Arabidopsis thaliana: one gene and its partner. The protein of the gene in region 2 purifies or fractionates together with the protein of the main gene of each other region. This does not show direct contact. Each region holds a gene or a part of one and is shown on either strand. Other genes may lie near its edges.

The links.
Region 1: the proteins of RCA (region 2) and CPN60B purify together in Arabidopsis thaliana (co-purification; one study listed by BioGRID). This does not show direct contact.

The regions. Positions count from the first base shown.
Region 1 is NC_003070.9:20,714,870-20,721,254, reverse strand, and holds CPN60B (chaperonin 60 beta), read left to right. Parts: upstream 1-1,993; 5' UTR 1,994-2,186; exon of another isoform or gene 2,187-2,573; 5' UTR 2,574-2,581; coding exon 2,582-2,797; intron 2,798-2,895; coding exon 2,896-3,021; intron 3,022-3,100; coding exon 3,101-3,238; intron 3,239-3,320; coding exon 3,321-3,416; intron 3,417-3,500; coding exon 3,501-3,743; intron 3,744-3,858; coding exon 3,859-4,093; intron 4,094-4,180; coding exon 4,181-4,350; intron 4,351-4,438; coding exon 4,439-4,516; intron 4,517-4,603; coding exon 4,604-4,675; intron 4,676-4,757; coding exon 4,758-4,862; intron 4,863-4,936; coding exon 4,937-5,029; intron 5,030-5,116; coding exon 5,117-5,209; intron 5,210-5,301; coding exon 5,302-5,425; intron 5,426-5,524; coding exon 5,525-5,538; 3' UTR 5,539-5,692; downstream 5,693-6,385. Other genes in the region: ECT4 (evolutionarily conserved C-terminal region 4), read right to left, coding at 1-77, 164-685, 784-839, 932-1,076, 1,154-1,230, 1,481-1,508; ZKT (protein containing PDZ domain, a K-box domain, and a TPR region), read right to left, coding at 5,904-6,044, 6,133-6,192, 6,262-6,382. UniProt on the Arabidopsis thaliana protein: Binds RuBisCO small and large subunits and is implicated in the assembly of the enzyme oligomer. Involved in protein assisted folding. Required for proper plastid division.
Region 2 is NC_003071.7:16,570,235-16,575,673, forward strand, and holds RCA (rubisco activase), read right to left. Parts: upstream 3,459-5,439; 5' UTR 3,112-3,458; coding exon 3,067-3,111; intron 2,583-3,066; coding exon 2,266-2,582; intron 2,175-2,265; coding exon 2,069-2,174; intron 1,970-2,068; coding exon 1,884-1,969; intron 1,793-1,883; coding exon 1,320-1,792; intron 1,239-1,319; coding exon 957-1,238; coding exon of another isoform or gene 940-956; exon of another isoform or gene 833-939; coding exon 717-832; 3' UTR 512-716; downstream 1-511. Other genes in the region: AT2G39725 (LYR family of Fe/S cluster biogenesis protein), read left to right, coding at 1-108. UniProt on the Arabidopsis thaliana protein: Activation of RuBisCO (ribulose-1,5-bisphosphate carboxylase/oxygenase; EC 4.1.1.39) involves the ATP-dependent carboxylation of the epsilon-amino group of lysine leading to a carbamate structure.

The DNA of each region.
Region 1 (6,385 bases), on a different chromosome or scaffold from region 2:
TATGACTTGTTTGGAGACACTCTGTCGTAGTAACCCTGAGCTGCATAACCTGTCATGGATGCAGGCTGGTACATACTCTGCCAAGAATAGAATGAGGCTATCAGATACAGGGATTCAGATAGAGAAGAAGACTTATCATACAAAACTGACTTCCATATCATACCGTGTAATGCGAATTGGAGCTAGAGTTTTGATTCCTAGTCGCAGGTACATTGTTGTTAGCCTTAGAATATGAGGATGCAACTCCACTGCCAGAAACAGACCTCTGCACATCTGAGAAGTTAGAGCCATCGTGCCATGACACAGGAGTGTAAAACCCATCATAGCTATACCTGGGGTCCTGATAACCAGCAGCAAGACCACCTCCAAGAGCACTGTTTCCATACAGTGCACTCTGATTCAATGGTTTAACAGGAGCTGATCCATTCATTCCTTTAGGGATACCAGCAGATGCAGAGTTGGCTGCTTTGTTTGTAGAGAGCTTGCTCTGAGTAGAGGCAGGAACAGACGAAGCGAAAGGCCCACTACTGGCTGTGAGAGGAAAAGGATACTGGTACTGCTGAGCACCATACAACTGTCCATCACCACCAAGTTGTGGAGCAGGGCTTGTTGCTGGTGAGTAAGGAAAGGCAGCATACCCGTATCCCTGCGGATAAACAAGAGATGCATTCTCTCCGTAAGCTCCCTGGAGTGATTACCAAATGACTAAGTAGGGCAAAAGGTAAAAGAGAGGCTAAATAGTCTGGACACGAGTTGCTTATAAGAAAATATTAACGCACGTACTGATGTCATATCAACACTCTCGGAATTGGTATAACCTGTGTAGTCACTCCCATAACCTGAAAGATTATACAAACGGTTGTGTTATAGATATTACAATAATTCTAGACAGTAGAAGGCTGAAGATATATAAATGAAACTTAATTATCACCATAATAGTAGGGCTGCTGATACACATTAGGAACATAGAAAACAGAAGGATCCAAGGCATCACTGGGTAGCATAGGTGACAAAGATCGATCAAAAGAAGGAACTTGACCATTCGAATCCATAGCTCCATACTGGTAAACACCCGTCTGCAAAGATAATGATGCTATGAGAACTCTGCTTGGAGTAACAAAATGTGCAGAGACATTAAAAGATGTAACTTTACCTTCTTAGTAGGCTCAGGGATCTCCAAAGTCCTAGACTTTGAATCTAAAGACAGTTTCTTCAATACATCAGCAGCTTCTGAAAAAACAATGTAAGTGAAGGAAACAAATAGGTTTCTATCTTCAGCAAGACTAAAAAATTGATTTTTCTAATCAATTTATTCACTTTGCTAGCTACAGGAACAGTCAAATTCATCGAGCTAAAACAAACAGAACAAATGGAAATGACATCATTTCACTATATGAATCGAATTACGATGAAGCAACTAGATTCATGAACGTAGATCACAAAAGAAATGAAGGAGAAAAGAAACAAAGGCAAAGGATACGATCAGCAGGAGGAGCAACAGTAGACATGAGAACAGAGTTGGCAGCGAAGACTGATAATAGATCCTTGTCGGATATTGAACAATAAGAGTTTGAGACAAACACAAATATCAGAGCAAAAAAGAACTCAGAAGGAATCTAGGGTTTAAGAGATTGAATCGTAGCCGCAAGAGAAGAGAGAAGAAGAGGAAGAGGCAAAAGTGGTTTTGTTCGTTCACCTCGATTTGATTCAAATACCTCCAAGATCCCTTTTTTATATTTTTCTATTATTTTTGTTTACCTTTTTCTCCATCGTTTTTTTTTTAAAATACTTCCTTTATTCCAGCCACATTAATATTATACTAGTCACTACGAAATATCTCACAAAATAATACTATAAATATTATTTCCTCGAAAATTTCGCAATTAATCGGGAAAAAATCAATTTTTAAAATAAATATCACTGATTCCAATTCCATTGTTAGGAATTAAGGAGCAAGAATAAAGGCCCAAATAGGCCCAATATAAATCTGATCCAGGATCCGAAGAGTTGAATCCAACGGCCAAGATTAACTCAAAGCTTGAAAGAGGTAAGGGAACGTTAAAAGCACCTTCCAAGCGAGAGTAAGGAGATAAACCTACTTCCTTTCCTTGCTTCAGCTCCCCTTTTCTTATCCGGAAACCAAAAACTTCCGGTGATAAAACCTCCTTCGTCATCTCTCTACTTCTGTTAGTTTCTTAATCCTTACTCTTGGAATAGTTTATCCTCTGCATTTTTTAGTGCCACAGTTTATGTGTGTATGTTTTGTTTGGATAAGAATTTGTTGTAAGCTTTTGAAAACTTGTATTAGTTCATTACTTCCATGATTTTGGGTGTTTTGTAATAAAATTTATGGATTAGTGTTTCTTCAGATTGTCAATTGTGTTCTTATTGAGCTCTGCTTTCGAAGGTGTCGCCTTTCTTCTGGTTTGTTGTGAAAATTTATTACTTTAGCTTACTGGGTTGTTGTTTCTTTCTGTTATATTGATTGTGTTAACCGTATATAGATGAAAAGAAGAGTCTTTTTTATATCTTTGAAATCTTATCTAAGTGCTGAATTTTGTCTGTCTTTGAAGTGGATAAAATGGCGTCAACTTTCACTGCCACATCTTCTATTGGTTCAATGGTTGCTCCGAATGGTCACAAATCTGATAAGAAACTTATCAGCAAGTTGTCTTCAAGCTCATTTGGAAGGAGACAAAGTGTGTGTCCTAGACCCAGAAGATCCAGTTCTGCAATTGTGTGCGCAGCAAAGGAATTACATTTCAACAAAGATGGGACTACCATTAGGAGACTTCAAGTAAGTATCTTTTTTAAAAAAAGTTAATGGAAACTTCATTCCCAAACCGGAGCTAAAGGTTTACATTTTCTGTGGTTTCTAATTTTGTGTTGTACTAGGCTGGTGTCAACAAGCTCGCAGATCTTGTTGGTGTTACACTTGGACCCAAAGGACGAAATGTTGTTCTTGAGAGCAAGTATGGATCACCACGAATTGTTAATGATGGTGTGACTGTTGCAAGAGAGGTATGGAATTATTACCCCTCTGATAATGATTTTTGTTCTCATTCAACTGAGTCTTAGAGTTTCAAACTTTCTCCTGTAGGTTGAGTTGGAAGACCCGGTTGAGAACATTGGCGCTAAGCTTGTGAGGCAAGCGGCTGCCAAAACCAATGACTTGGCTGGTGACGGTACAACAACATCTGTTGTTCTTGCACAAGGTTTTATCGCTGAGGGTGTCAAGGTCTGTGTAACATTCTTCTTTCAGCTTTCTCTATGTGAAACTTCAAAAACTTTTGTACTAATTTTAAGATTATCTTATTCAGGTGGTAGCTGCTGGTGCAAACCCTGTTTTGATCACCAGAGGTATTGAGAAGACAGCAAAGGCTTTGGTTACCGAGCTCAAGAAAATGTCTAAGGAGGTTTCAAATTTATAGAACTCTCTTTCTTTTAATATGTTAAGAGTCTTTTTCAAAAGGTTCTGAATGTAAGTCATGTCGATGTAGGTTGAAGACAGTGAACTTGCAGATGTTGCAGCTGTTAGTGCGGGTAACAACGACGAAATTGGAAATATGATTGCTGAAGCAATGAGCAAAGTGGGCAGGAAAGGTGTGGTGACCCTTGAGGAGGGTAAAAGTGCCGAGAACAACCTCTACGTCGTAGAAGGAATGCAATTTGACCGTGGTTATATCTCTCCTTACTTTGTGACAGACAGCGAGAAAATGTCCGTCGAGTTCGACAATTGCAAGGTAGATGTTTCTTGAATCTGAGTAGAAGATGAATTTTGTTGGCAGACTATTTAGCCACTAAAGATATTTATATATGAGTATAACAACGATCTTTAATGTTTTGGTATGATTGCAGTTACTTCTCGTTGACAAGAAAATTACCAATGCAAGGGATCTTGTTGGTGTTTTGGAGGATGCAATTAGAGGCGGATACCCAATATTAATTATTGCTGAAGACATTGAACAAGAAGCTTTAGCGACTCTTGTTGTAAACAAGCTTAGAGGTACACTGAAGATAGCAGCTCTCAGAGCTCCAGGGTTTGGAGAGCGCAAGAGCCAATACCTTGATGATATTGCCATTCTAACTGGAGGTAAGTTCTGTCTGCATTGATGAGCCCTATGTTTACGCATATATTTGTAGTTTTTATCTTGTCCTAATTTTCTATCTTCGCTTGCAGCAACTGTGATCCGTGAGGAAGTTGGTCTTTCACTTGACAAAGCTGGAAAAGAGGTTCTTGGTAATGCTTCAAAGGTTGTCCTCACAAAGGAGACCTCGACCATAGTGGGTGATGGAAGCACACAGGATGCAGTGAAAAAGCGTGTTACACAGATTAAAAATCTTATTGAGGTATAGTAAAAGAGTATAGCATATATGGGACCTCTTTTACTTTTTGTGGATAGTGTAGTTACATTGCAATGGTAATTGGTTTGTGCAGCAAGCGGAGCAAGATTACGAGAAGGAGAAACTCAATGAGAGAATTGCAAAGCTCTCTGGTGGAGTTGCTGTGATTCAGGTAAACTAAAAACTATTTAAGTTTCCTTTGTCTGATTAAGATGTGTTTCAGAGATATTAAGTTAAGCTCGTTATGTATTGGTTAAAGGTTGGAGCACAAACTGAGACAGAACTCAAAGAGAAGAAGTTGAGAGTTGAAGATGCTCTTAATGCAACAAAGGTGATTTTGTATTTCTGAGGCTTGAGAAGCGTGTTATTTGCATACTCGTGAACTATAACTAATCAGGATTTTAATTCTTCAGGCCGCTGTCGAGGAAGGTATTGTTGTTGGTGGTGGTTGCACTCTGCTTCGTCTTGCTTCCAAGGTTGATGCCATTAAAGCCACGCTTGATAATGATGAAGAAAAGGTAAATCAATCAAGTCTTCAGATTTTAACTCATGAACCTTCGGTTTCTCTAACTTTGCTGATGATTCCCTTTAGGTTGGAGCGGATATAGTTAAAAGAGCACTAAGTTACCCCCTAAAACTAATCGCCAAGAATGCTGGTGTTAATGGAAGTGTAGTTAGCGAGAAGGTAATAACAACAGATAACATAATTCCCACTTTTTTATCTCTAGATTTCAAGTCAGATGCTTGAAGAGATGTCTCTATTCATTGGCAGGTGCTTTCCAACGATAACGTGAAATTCGGTTACAATGCTGCAACCGGCAAGTACGAGGATTTGATGGCTGCAGGAATCATCGATCCAACAAAGGTAAGTTTTCTGTGCATATACAGAAACTGTCTTTGCTAGCTAAATTGGTCATCAAAGATCCATGAACCTGAGTGGCTTTATCTTGATTTTAGGTTGTGAGATGTTGCTTGGAACACGCAGCTTCGGTTGCAAAGACTTTCTTGATGTCGGACTGCGTTGTTGTTGAGATCAAGGAACCTGAACCAGTTCCCGTCGGCAACCCAATGGACAACTCAGGTTTGTTCAGAATTTCAAATACTTGAGTCTTTGGTAAAGATCCCCCGCATTCAATATTCATGTTTCATTGCTGAATCTTGTTGGCCTCTCTTATTTCAGGATATGGATACTAAGAGGAGATAGGCTAATATTGAAACGGATTACTTTAGCTTGCGAGTGTAATGATTTTGAACAAGAGAATGTGTAATGTGAAACTGAAATTTTGAATTAATCATCATATGAATAAATCATGATTCCCTCAATGCTTCGAAATATCTCGAAATCGCCAAATATGAAACTTTTGATCCAAAGATTTGAAGATTTATTATCACTTCATATGAAATGGTATACGTAAACTGAATGAAATGGTTAAAAGAATTTCTTAAGAAAAAAAGAACACATTTATGATCGAATAAAATTCCTCACAAGTATGTATAGAGCCAAGAAGAGAAGAGAAGCTATGAACAGATCACATCAAAAGACACAAACTTTAGGTGAACTATTTCTTGTTAAAGCCAAACAAGGATTTGATGGCGTTAATGGCACTCTCATTGATGAAAGATTCGTCGAATTGCTTCAGAAGTGGATCGAAATCCTTCGACTTCCTGAGAGTTTCCAGATCTGGATCACTTCTGATTCTCTGCAAACAAAACAAATAACACAGCTTCAACAAACAAGTCCATCCTTCTCTCTGTCTCAATTGAAACATTACAACTCCTTGGACTTACCTTAAAATCTTCATATCCTGACTTCAATGCTTCTTCCAGAGCCGAGAGACCAGCTTGAACCTATCAAAATAACTCTATCAACACTGCAAGTCAAAATGCAATATCTGAAAAGATTCAAAAGCTTTTTACCTGATTAAGCTTTGAGTAGCAACAAGCAACATTGTAACTTGCAACTGATGCTTCTTCTGGTGTTGGTTTAGAACCTAACACCGACTCAAACCTCTCCAATGCTTCCTCATACTTACCATTCCTA
Region 2 (5,439 bases):
CAGTACATCGAGTATTTGCTTCGGTTAGGTACTAAACAGCTTGATCAACTCAAAAGCCCTGCCATAGTTAGCCTCTCCTCGATCAAGGTCGTTACATCTAAAACCTGATACCTTATTTTATAGCTTGTTGCTCTAGTGACCATAGATAACAAAGCTGAGGAAATTGATTCGTTTTCCTCTTTTTACATTGAGTTATGTATGTATGATGATGGATGTTCAAGGTCCATTATAAAATAAAGAGAATTGTGATCACAATTGAATATATATATACACTTTCACACAATTATGTGCATCTGCTAATAGTCTAGAGATTGCAATCATTCAATATGAGAAGCAATGTATCAGATTTCATCTTTGTAAGAGTACCAGTCAATGGTGTAGTGCTCCGTTGCCAATGGTCTTGCTTTACATGTGAATGCGACACATTGTTTTTTTCCGGATTCAGTTTTGTCCTATAGTTCTGTTCTACTTAGTGCTATTTGGCCTCAGATTTTGTATACTTTATATGTCTAAGCATTTACCTAGTGTGCAACATTGGAATAAGAAGTGTAGTTTATGACAAGGCAATTTTAAATTACCAATGTGTTGTACATCATAAAAAAAAAAAAAGGGAACAAAAGAGGACAAGATCCAATCCACAATTACACAAAGGAGAAAAATAAACCAAAAGAGACAATAGGAGTAAAACAGCAAATTAATAAGCAGGATAATATTGCTCAAAAGTTGTAGACACAGGTTCCATCGTCACTTCTAGCCGTTGGATCAAAGTTTTCAGCCACAGGATCAGTACACCCTTCAGGAACTGGCAGGTTTACTTGCTGGGCTCCTTTTCCTGCAAGTCAAGTAAGTTTAACTTCAGAAAACCTAATTCCATTTTCTTCTCTTTCTCTTTTACATTTTCATACCCAGTGGCCAACTAAACCAAAAAACAAACGAGTTTCAAACCTCTGTTTTACCGTAGAAAGTTCCGCGGCCGATGGCGTCAGCGTTTGCGTCTCCCAAAGCAGCCTGGCTGAGGTAGGTCTCGGCAAGTTGGACTCTCTTGACATTCTCTTGTTCCATCACAAGCATGTTTCCGTATTCCATAAGCTTCTCATAAGTCATCTCGGGTTGCTCGAACACGGGAGGTCCTTCCCTTGAGTTAACCAGCCTCTTTCCGATCTTCTCAACTCCAAGGCTCTCAACGAACTTCCTCACTTCATCATCGTACACTCTCGCCCTCAAAGCACCGAAGAAATCTGTCCACACCAAAAACACATATCAGATTCTGCACGAGGTCCTATATAGAACATTTTCAGGGTAGTAAGAATCTTTCTTACCGATAGATTGACCAGGGAACTGATCAACAAGTGTGACAATGTCTTCGTCCTTGATCTTGTCAGTTCTGAAGATACCCTTGCAGACACCGATACGGTCTTCACGGGTCGGGGCCCAGTAGAACTTCTCCATACGTCCATCACGGATGAGAGGAGCGTATAGGGTGGAGAAATCGTTACCAGTGCAAATGATGGGGACACGTGCGTTCTCTTCCTTGTTGTACATTCCTGGGAGCTGGACGTTGGTTGGGTTATCAGCAATGTTCATGAGTGTTGCGTTAACCATCTGGTTGTTGACAGTGTACTGAGTAGTACCACCCATACGACCCGCACCAGCGTCAAGATCGTTGATGAAGAGACAACACATCTTTCCCTTCTTGATCAAGTCAGCTGCCTCACGGTACCTCTGACGGATAAGCTTTGCGGGTTCTCCTGCGTTTCCACTCTCAAGCTCTCCAGCACTCATCATGATTGGGCTGCAAAAAGATTCAAACTTTTTTAGATTCTTGTCGAAAGAGAGCTAAACAGAAACCGGGTCAAGATCGGAGATTTGGGAAATGGACTCACTTGATACCCATCTTGGCCATGACAAGCTCACACTGGAAGGATTTACCTTGACCTTTGCCTCCCCATATACCCAAAATAAGTGGAACCTATGAGACAAAAAAAACAGGCATTTAAAGATCAATAAAGTTGTGTAATAAGTCAAGATTGCACCAAAAAATACTCAAAAGAAAAACTTTAAATTATACCTTGATGTTAGGCAGAGTCAAGAAGTTCTTGGTGATGTGAACAACAAGCTTGTCCATGAAAGCAGGAGCAATGTAAAACCCATCCATCATGTTGTCCAAGTTGTACCTATATTTCAAGAAGTAAAGACAATTTTTAAAACCAAAGACTCCAAAATCTTTATGGAACTAATGAGAGATCTAGAGAGATGAGAACTTACTGCCTAAGGCCTTGGCTAACGTATTCGTATGAGCTAAGGACAGCGTGGTGAGTTCCGGTTCCCATAGGAGCTTGGAAGACAGAGTCAACCATACCCTTGCCTCTGGTGATGTCTTGTTGATCATCAGAAGTGTCGTAGGCAAGACCTCTCCATCTGTCTCCATCGGTTTGTTTGTCTTCTTTCACAGCCAACACCTTGAATGATCCGTTGCTCTTCTTGTTGCTCTGTGCGAATCTCGACACAGTTACAACTTTCTTTCCCAAGAAGGTTGAAGCTGGGGCTGATACAGCTCCTGATCCTGACCCGTTCAAGCTCAACTGCAACACACACACAAAAACAGTTCAATCACCAATCATGAATTCAAGTTTGGTTTATATGGTTCAAGAACCGGTTTAGAGACTATTCCTAAGGATAAAAGGCGCTCAATCAGGAACTGAACCGAACCAAACCGGGGAATAAACTTTAATTTGGTTCACATAGCTCAAGGTATAGACTAGTCCTGAAGACTAAAGAGTAGTAGTAGTCTCTACAGTTTCAGTTCAATTACTATACATCGATTTAAACACATCTACTAAATCTATAGTTCACAAGTAGAGAATAAAAGAAGCATCAAAGTATCTTTAGATTTCCTAGTTAAAGTCCTGATTCTTCTGTTCTGTCAGAGAATCTCAAAGTGATTCAAACGATCAAATTCTTGAGCTATATTTGTAAAAACCAAAGCTATTCAAGTGGTGGATAAGCACAAAGCGTTAAGATTATGTTAAAAGTAACATTAAACCACTAATGGAGATTGAAGTGTACCGGAGCTCTGTTGATGGCACCGACGGTGGAAACTGCGGCGGCCATATCTCAAGACTGCGACGAGTATGCGTCACAACACAAGAAGCTGAAGAGAGGAATTAGATTGGTAGAAGAAGAAGCTTAGAGAGATGTTGGTGTGAGCAAGAAACTGAGAGATTTATAAAGCGAGTGATCAACAACCAATTCGTTATCTCTTCGTCTTCAAGGCTTAACTCTCTGATCGCCACACGATGCGGATTGGCCAAGTTGCCACGAGGAAGATGATTAGGAGGATTCTATTTTGATTGGTCCACGTGGAATATGTTTATGAGGTTGTCGTCAAATGGCTAATCTGTGCCAATGGATTTGTTTTTTTTTTCAAGTGAAGATTATAACATTATTTATTACCACATATGCTTTGGAAAATCATTGTTTTTTTTTTTTTTTTTGAGGATTGAGGTAAGCCATTCATATGTGATCAAGATACTTCTACACTCTTCTTCATACGATAACATTCCAAAATTTTGGATAATGACATTGCTTATCGATAATAATGTTCCAAATAACCGATGTAAACTGATTGGTGGAGAGAAATTGGCTTAGCCAATAGAATATAATTCTAATTTTGTTATATACAACTCTAGATACAACAGGTATCAAGTATGTGGTTATCAAATTAACCATATTGTACTAAACCGCTAAAAACTAATTAATGCAACTTTTTCTTTACACAAAATGTAAAAACAAGTGATGCAATGCATACGTAAGATTTGATAAATATATAGTTTAGAAGATGAAGTAAAGATAGTCGAGGCTAAGATAGCATCATGCAAAATATCATATGCTAAAATATGAAATAAGATTATAGTGTTTAAATTCATAGTGAAAATATGAATATATCAGAAATTCATATGAATTTACTTGTTTTAAAATAAAAATGATAACTATATCATAGTTTATTGTTCCCTCAAAGTTACTATAAAAACAACTCATCTAAAACTATATATTCACAATCACAAGCAATCGTTTTCTACACTAAGCTATAAAATGAAACACTTCACTTGTCTGATCATTATAATTTCTCATCCTCTTCATTATTTTCAGTTTTCTCAACCATTCTCTCATGTGGAACGAGCCATCATATCATCAATGGACAAAACCAAATTTTAATTTTAGGCTTCATTCGCTGCCGACGAAGCAATATGTACATGTTCTACATGCAAGACAAGAGAACAAAGATTACTGATATGATATTAAACTATTATTGATCCATATATAAGACATGTTGAAGAACCAAACGATTGATAATAATGTGGTGGAGCTACTCGCACAATGCTAAATGTTAACTGTATGTGACAAAATTAGCAAAAGTTTGCGTGCCAGGTTTGATTCTTAGTACACATACATGACTTTTAACATACTGAGGTTAGAAAATGAAGTACAGTAAAACCTTTATAAATTAATAATGTTGGGACTGCAAAATTTTATTAATTTAAAAAGGTTTTAATTTATCGATAAATTAATATTTTTTAATTATAGAGAAATTTTCCTAATTTGGTAACTTTTTAAAAAGTTTTATAAGATTTTTTTCATTATAGAAAATATCTTTCTAAAATCAATTACAAGTACAAAATTATATCATGTCTAGAAAACAATACCAAATTTTTTTTGATACAGTAACACATTAGAACTAAATTTCAAATAAGAATAACTACAAATTTAAGTAAAAAAAAATCAAAAACATTTCTTACATATAATGTATATATATAGTTGATACATTTATGCAATTATTAATTTATGATATTGATGAGACTATATATTTACATAGGACTTTCAAAAAAGTTATTATCTTATTAATTTATCGATGTGTTACACTTTTTACATTGGTCCTAACTTGGGATCTGGTGAATTTATTAATTTATAGAGGTTACTAATTTATCGAGTATTAATTTATGGAGGTTTAACTGTAAAAAGAGTTGAGGTTACCATTGCAATAAAATATGAGACAATGTGTAGAGGAGGATAAAAGATTGAACAAAAAGAAGAAAGCCAACTAGTTTTTGTCAAAAGGATAATTTTCCATGTGCATGCAAGTATGCAACCACATCAAAATCATAAATAAACATTGTCTAAAATGTTTCTAATAAAAATAGATGTAAAGAAAATTCATCAGTTTAATAACTAGGGTTTAAGAGATATTTACAAATACTAACCATTAACATCATATTTAATATGACTTTGTAAAATCTATGATCAAATAACATGCAATTTTTTTAATATGTAAAATAAATTATCTCAAAATATTTGATTGAATATATACCCTTTAATTTAGCATTGATTTTAAAAATCCAACAATTTTCTATAGTATATTTTGTAATAATGTTATTGGTTCCT